Linked DNA regions of Rattus norvegicus. The protein of the gene in region 1 interacts with the protein of each later gene in a biochemical or structural test. Links are inferred from orthologs where the notes say so. Each region holds a gene or a part of one and is shown on either strand. Other genes may lie near its edges.

Evidence for each region.
Region 2: the proteins of Mavs (region 1) and Irf3 form a complex in vitro, tested with the Homo sapiens proteins (2 studies listed by BioGRID). The link is inferred for Rattus norvegicus from reciprocal best matches to the Homo sapiens genes MAVS and IRF3.

What each region holds. Positions count from the first base shown.
Region 1 is NC_086021.1:138,917,147-138,919,869, forward strand, and holds the end of Mavs (mitochondrial antiviral-signaling protein), read left to right. Parts: intron 1-421; coding exon 422-850; 3' UTR 851-1,979; downstream 1,980-2,723.
Region 2 is NC_086019.1:104,615,434-104,619,349, reverse strand, and holds the start of Irf3 (interferon regulatory factor 3), read right to left. Parts: upstream 2,743-3,916; 5' UTR 2,641-2,742; intron 2,339-2,640; exon of another isoform or gene 2,301-2,338; coding exon of another isoform or gene 2,200-2,300; intron 1,965-2,199; exon of another isoform or gene 1,912-1,964; coding exon of another isoform or gene 1,878-1,911; coding exon 1,713-1,877; intron 554-1,712; coding exon 382-553; intron 291-381; coding exon 217-290; intron 66-216; coding exon 1-65. Other genes in the region: Bcl2l12 (bcl-2-like protein 12), read left to right, coding at 3,660-3,766.

The DNA.
Region 1 (2,723 bases):
ACGTGATGGCTCATGTGTCCTAGTGCCCTGTTCATTCGACAGTGTTCTCAAGCATCCTGCTTGTAGTAGCTTCTCCAACCTAGTGACCCCTATAGCCATTTTCCCCACGACCATACAACTGTCTACCTAAGGGAACCAAGTTTGTAAACCTCAGGATCTTGTGCCTGCCCTGTGGCTCTCAGGCCCAGGTAGTACAAGATGGTTCACATGCCAGCAAGGGCTCCCTCTTAGTGGAGCTCACAGCAGTTCCGTGAGTGGGAGAGGGCTGCCCTGGAGGGGTACTGCAGCATCTTGGTCACCTACTCAGCTGTGTCTTATCCCCAAGAGAGGGTAATTTCGGCTATTGTGGGATACTAGTTCAAGCCCTTGCCACACCCTGGGTTATCTCCTGTCACCTGAACCCCTCTTCTTATGTTTGCAGGAGACCCTGGAGGCTCCAGCAACCGTAGTCACCACTGGAAGCAGCCTGACCAGACCAGATATCAGTTCCAGGAGCTTGCACTCTGGGCCAGAGTTAAGCAAGCCAGGGGTGCTGGTGTCCCAGGTGGACAACGAGCCATTCTCAGCCTGCTCTATGGACCTTGCCATCAGCCCTAGCACCTCCTTGGGCTCAGAACCCAACCATGGTCCAGAGGAGAATGAGTATTCATCCTTTCGAATCCAGGTGGATAAAAGTCCCAGTGTTGATCTGTTAGGAAGCCCTGAGCCACTAGCCACCCAGCAGTCCCCAGAAGAGGAAGAGCCTTGTGCCAGTTCAGTGTCCTGGGCTAAGTGGCTGGGGGCCACCAGTGCACTCTTGGCTGCATTCCTGGCAGTGATGCTCTACCGTAGCAGGCACCTGGCCCAGTGAAGCCTCAGCTGTATGCCACACTCACTTGCTCAGTCCTGCCAAGCATGCCCTCTAGGCTTGGGGTGGTAGATATGGCGAGGTCCACTGAGTTATCCAGGTACAGGTGCTACCTGTACTGAGGCGCCATCACTATGTGGTGGGGGAAGAGACACTGCTTCTATCCTGGTTCATGTCATCTTCTGGTCTTCAGCTTTTGGGGGCCCTGTATCCCTTCCATTGCTTCTGACCTGCCCACAGGGCAGGGTAAGATTGCATGCTATGTGCTCCTAAGGAGGTATCCCCACCAGACTCATCCCTATTGGCCCAAGCCTGAAGATGAGGAGGCATTGCACTGTTGACAGTGCCCCTCCTCTCACCCAGGTCTCCTGAAACACAAGCGTAGAATAGTGATGAGTGGTCCCGTAGCATCCAATGCCTTCCACCAGCAGCCTGGCTGAGGCCTCGGCAGAGTGCCTGGGAGCAGCAGAGCAGCTGGTCTCTTGGGAGCTTTGGGTGCTCTGCCCCTTTGGTCCCTCTCCCCAGCCAGACAGCCCTAAGGGTGGGCCTGGAGGTTCTCTGTGGACTCCAAGAAAGCCAGAAGCAGCTCCCAGGCCTGAGAAAGCCCCTGGGAGCCTTGCTCCAGCCTCCTTATCCCAGCTCTTCACTTCTCCCCTCCTGGTCTCCATTCTCTTTGACCTCCTACACTGGATGATGAGATACCTAGTGGGCAGAGCTCAGGCTGGGCTTGGATCAGTTCCACCCTTTCTCTGCCTTTAGCAGATGTTTAGCTTCTCTAGTCTTCCTCCCAGTGTGGACAGTGGGTAGCACTTCCTTTTACTGGGCTCCTCTGAGTTTGAAGGATAGAGATATTTGCCTAGTGCCTATCCCCGAGGGTGTGAGCACAAGTTCTTGCCGTCCTGCCCAGGCTGGTAGAGCTAAGGTGAGAGCATGAGAGACAGAGTGCACAGTGGTAATAGCACAGTCTTTGAGAGAGCAGCCTTCGCCTCCATCGTGCTTTTGTCTCCTCCCTGGTCAGGTGTAGACCTTACCTCTGTGCCTCACTTTTCTCACCTGTGAGATGGGGTGAATATGCATATATATGCTAATATATTCTAGTTTTATTGGGATTAATTAAAAGAGTTTATCTGTACAAATCTTGTGTGTTCCAAATTTCTTAAAGGTTGGATACATGTTATCACCACCCCACCCTAGACTGTTTCTCTGTGTAGTCCTGGCTGTCCTAGAATTCACTCTGTAGACCAGGCTGGCCACAAACTCAGAGATCCACCTGTTTGTTTCAAGTGCTAGGATTAAGGGCATGGGCCACCACCATCTGACACATCATCACTTTTAAAGAAAAGGTACCTGGTGAGAGATAGGTCTTAGCACATTCTTCCCTTCTCGGTGAGAGATAGGTCTTAGCACATTCTTCCCTTCTCAGTGGGCAGGAAGTCTAGTTATTCCTATAGCAGAAATACAGTTAGGCTTAGGCTGGCTGTGCTCATGCCTTTAATCAGCACTCAGGAGGCAGAGGCAGGCAGATCTCTGAGTGAGTTCAAGACCAGCCTGGTCTACACAGCTCCAGGCCAGCCAGTCTCCAGACAGTGAAATACAATGATGTATATTGAGGCTATCCTCACGGGCTTCCTCAGGGTGCCCTTTGCTGGACAGGGGATAAGCGTGTAGCCACCTCTATCTCTGGGCCCTATTGTGGACAATTTCTCTATCAGGGGTTGCTATTGCAATCTTCCCTACATGCCCTAATTACCTATACTTAACTTCAAGGCTCACTTCAACCTGTGCCATGAATCTAGGTGTAACCTGTCCCCAAGTTGTCTACACAACTTCTATCACCTTTGTTTCTAACAACCCTGGACTTTGTACCCTCTCCCAG
Region 2 (3,916 bases), on another chromosome or scaffold:
TCTGAGGACCCCTCATCTGGGAGGGGTCCCAAGGCCATGTGATCGAGTAATTCCAAGAGGTCTTCCTGGAGGAGGAAGGAGCTAGTCAACAGCTTCAGCTGAGCCAGAGGGTAGCAGATTGGTGGGAATGGAGGTCCAGGGGTAAGGGCTGGGGTGGGAAGAAGGTGAGGCCTAATGGATGGGGCAAGGCTGGGCACAAGACTAGTGTCTCCTCACCTGGTGATCAGACAGACTGCTTTTGCCATTGGTGTCAGGGGAGGTGTCCAGATGTACAAAGTCCCTTGCTCCTCCTGTCCAGAGTGGAAGTGAGCAGAGTAAGTGGCAGAGATCTTCCAGACCCCACGGTTCCTGTGACCCCCAAGCCAGCCTTGTTACACACACCTGGAGTCACAAACTCATACACTTTATGAGGGTCAAAAGGGTCCTTGCTCCGGTCCTCAGCTAATCGCAACACTTCTTTCCGGTTCAGGGCTGACCGGAAATTCCTCTTCCAGGTTGACAGGTCTGGCTTATCCTTCCCTGGGGTGTAGGCACCACTGGCTTCCGCCCAGGCCTGATACATCAGTGATTCCAGGACAGTAGGGAAGACTACTTAGACACCTCCCACCATATTCCATACATTTCTGGTTCCTGACCTAAGTTCTCACATTCATAGAGCCCCTAGGACTTCTGTCCCGACCTCATCCTTATCTATATTTTCCACACTTTAGAAAAATATTTTTGAATATGAGACAGGGTCTCACACATTATAACAAAGGTAGGCTCCAAGTTTCGACCCTCTAGCTGCCACTTCCAGAGTGCTGGGATTACAAACGTATGCCACACATCCACCTTCAAGCCTTTTGATTTTGGTTTGTTTTTTTTTTTTAGGTTTATTTATTATAGACGAGTACACGTAGCTGTCCTCAGATGTGCCAGAAAAGGGCATCAGATCTCATTACAGATGGTTGTGAGACACCATGTGGTTGCTGGGATCTGAACTCAGGACCTCTGGAAGAGCAGTCAGTGCTCCCAACCGCTGAGCCATCTCTCCAACCCAAGCCTTTTGTTTTTTAAGCCAGTATTCTAGGACCTACTTGGTACCTCACCCCACATTCTGTTACTACCATGCTGATCTGGTAGCTAATAACCCCATCCTGAGGGCTGTTCCAATTCTTAAGATTTAAGGGATCTAAAATCAAGAGCCCACCCCCCCCCCGAGATTTCCCATCCTCTAATAAAAGAGCTGTTCTCAACTATCCGAATACAGATCCTCATGATGTAGTGAGTCCCCAGCCCCAAATTTTTTTCATTGCTACTTCAAAACTGTAATTTTGCTGTTATAAATCTTTTTTTTTTTTTTTTTTTTCCGGAGCTGGGGACCGAACCCAGGGCCTTGCTAGGGCCTTGCTCCTGCTAGGCAAGCGCTCTACCACTGAGCTAAATCCCAACCCCAGCTGTTATAAATCTTAATGTGAATATCTGTTTTCCAATGAAAGGCCCGTTCAACCCCCAAAGGGGTTGCGTCCCACAGATTGAGAACCATTGCTCCAGAACAGTTTTTTAGAGACACAACCTGGCTTTCAGAATTCTATTCCTGGAATCTGCCAATCAATTCCGGGCTGTCCCTCCAAGTCTATCCCACCTAATTAGCAAGACCCAGCCCTGTCTAGTCACGCCCATAAATGCCTCTGAAGTCTCAACGCCCCCCCCCGCCCCCTCCCCCCCAGCACCTGGAAGATGCCAAAGTCAGCCATCTGTGCGTCCTGTCGTAAGCCATGCTTCCATGGGATCCTGAACTTTGTACGGCTCTCGTCCAGCCAGGCCACACCTTTCAGCTGTCCCAGGTCCAGCTGAGACACCAGCCAAGGCAAAATCAGCGGTTTCGGGGTTCCCATGATCCAGCCTGCGCATACAGTGCAGTTCCTGAGCCTGTATGTCAAGGGGCAAATGCACTCAAACCTCTCCGACCCGATACAGCACAGGCCTTCCTTCACCCTGTTTTCCTGTGTACAAACGGGAAACTCCTTCCCACCTTTCCAATTCCAACGGGACCGCCTATCCTACCCCACAGTTTTCCATAGGTTCTTTCCCTTTTCTAAATGTAAACCCCTATTACTCAAAGCAAGTACCCCATTTCCAGGGTGGAGTCCTCTTTCCCTGTCTTTAAAGAATCATGACTGTTCTCACACCCACCTCACCCTTGCAGAAAACCCTTACTCATTTCCAGAGTCTTCTCCCAGCTGCTGTCGCTTCTTCTGCTTTGTCTTTTCTACATTGTTTTTATGGATGTTTTGAGACAGGGTCTTAGTATGGAGCATAGGCTGTCCTCGAACTTGCTATGTAGCCATGATTGGTCTTCAACTCACTGTGTGGCCCAGGCTGGCCTCGAATGCACTCTGTAACCCAAGCTACCCTCAAACTTATTCAGTAGCTCAGGCTGGTCTTCAACTCGCTTAACCCATGCTGGTTTGGAGCTCATTCTGTGGTTCAGCCTGGCCTGGAGCTCACTGGCCTCGAACTTGCAGCAATCTTTACTGCCTCCAGTCTGGATGCTGAGACTGCAGGCTTCCGTCTACAACGCGTAACCATTCTGGTTTTCGGTAGCCGAGCTCCTGTGCCCTGAGGCCGCCACCCTCCCGGTTCTTCCGCGTTACCTACCAGGGGAGGAATTGCGCGCTCGTGGGGCGCGGGTGTCAGCACTGGTTTTGGGGCTCCCAAACAGTAGTTGAGACTCGCAGCCACGCAACCCCCTTCTTTGTCAACTAAGCTTCCGAGCGTTGGGACTTTCCTTTCTAATGGTATTTTGAGATAAAAAAAAAATTTCTCATCATTTACTTTAAGAAAAGTCAGAAAACCTAGGAGCACACTCCGACTGAACCGGCCTAACTCCCTCAATGCCCTTTTTTGGCCTTCCGCCTACAGGCATGCTGGGAACGCCATATGCAAATGATGCAACACAGCGCTCCGCCCCCTCGACGTTGGGGCGGTTACCGTGTCGGCCCAGTGCGCAGGCGCGGGAAAGTTGAACTTCGGAAGTAAAGTTTGTAGAAATTGAGTGAAAGCGTGTGTGCGCCAGTACGACTGAGGCAGAACCCCGATCCAGGTGAGCGGGGTACCAGGGAGGGAGCTAGGTTGCAGGAGAGGTCACAGCCAGTCCTGTCTCTCTGACTTCCAAGCACGGAGGTCTCCTGGTGCCCGCCAGAGGTCATTGGAACTACATCTCCCAGCAGGCTGCTCGGTGAAAAAGAGGGGAAACCCGGCTAGCGTTTGCCGCAAAGCGTACTAGGATTAGTAGTTCCCTATTCTCTAGGGTCTTCGAGACTCCTTCAGCACTCAGGGCTCCCTTCCTGCTCCTGCATGTAAGAGTCCAAGCACTCAGTTACGTCCTTTCTTTCTTTCTTTCTTTTTTTTTTTCTTTTTTTTCGGAGCTGGGGACCGAACCCAGGGCCTTGCGCTTGCTAGGCAAGCGCTCTACCACTGAGCTAAATCCCCAACCCCTACGTCCTTTCTTAGATTCAATAATTCAGGCCCTTTCTCCTCAACGGAATCAACTGCCCCACTGGCCCTTAAGCCACCTTTTCCTTGGAGTAAGGTGTCCTCTTCATTCAGTGATTGAATGAAGTTTGAGTTATCACTCCATTTGGGTACATTCTCTGTCTTCTGCTTCAGGTACCTCCATGGCCGGCTCTGAAGAGTTGGGTCTCCAAGAGGACACACTGAAGGTTCTGACTGCCTTCCTTAGGCGCGGTGAAACTGCTGGGTCCCCTGTCCCAACTCCACCCAGGTGAGATACTATTCCACTCCCCCAGGGCCAGCCTTTGATCAGAAGATCTTCCTGAGTCTAGTGGTCTACTCCCTTCATACCTAACCCCATATGTCTGTCCCAAGCTTCAAGAATCTTCCACGAGAGGACGAAGGGATTGTTTGCTCAGAA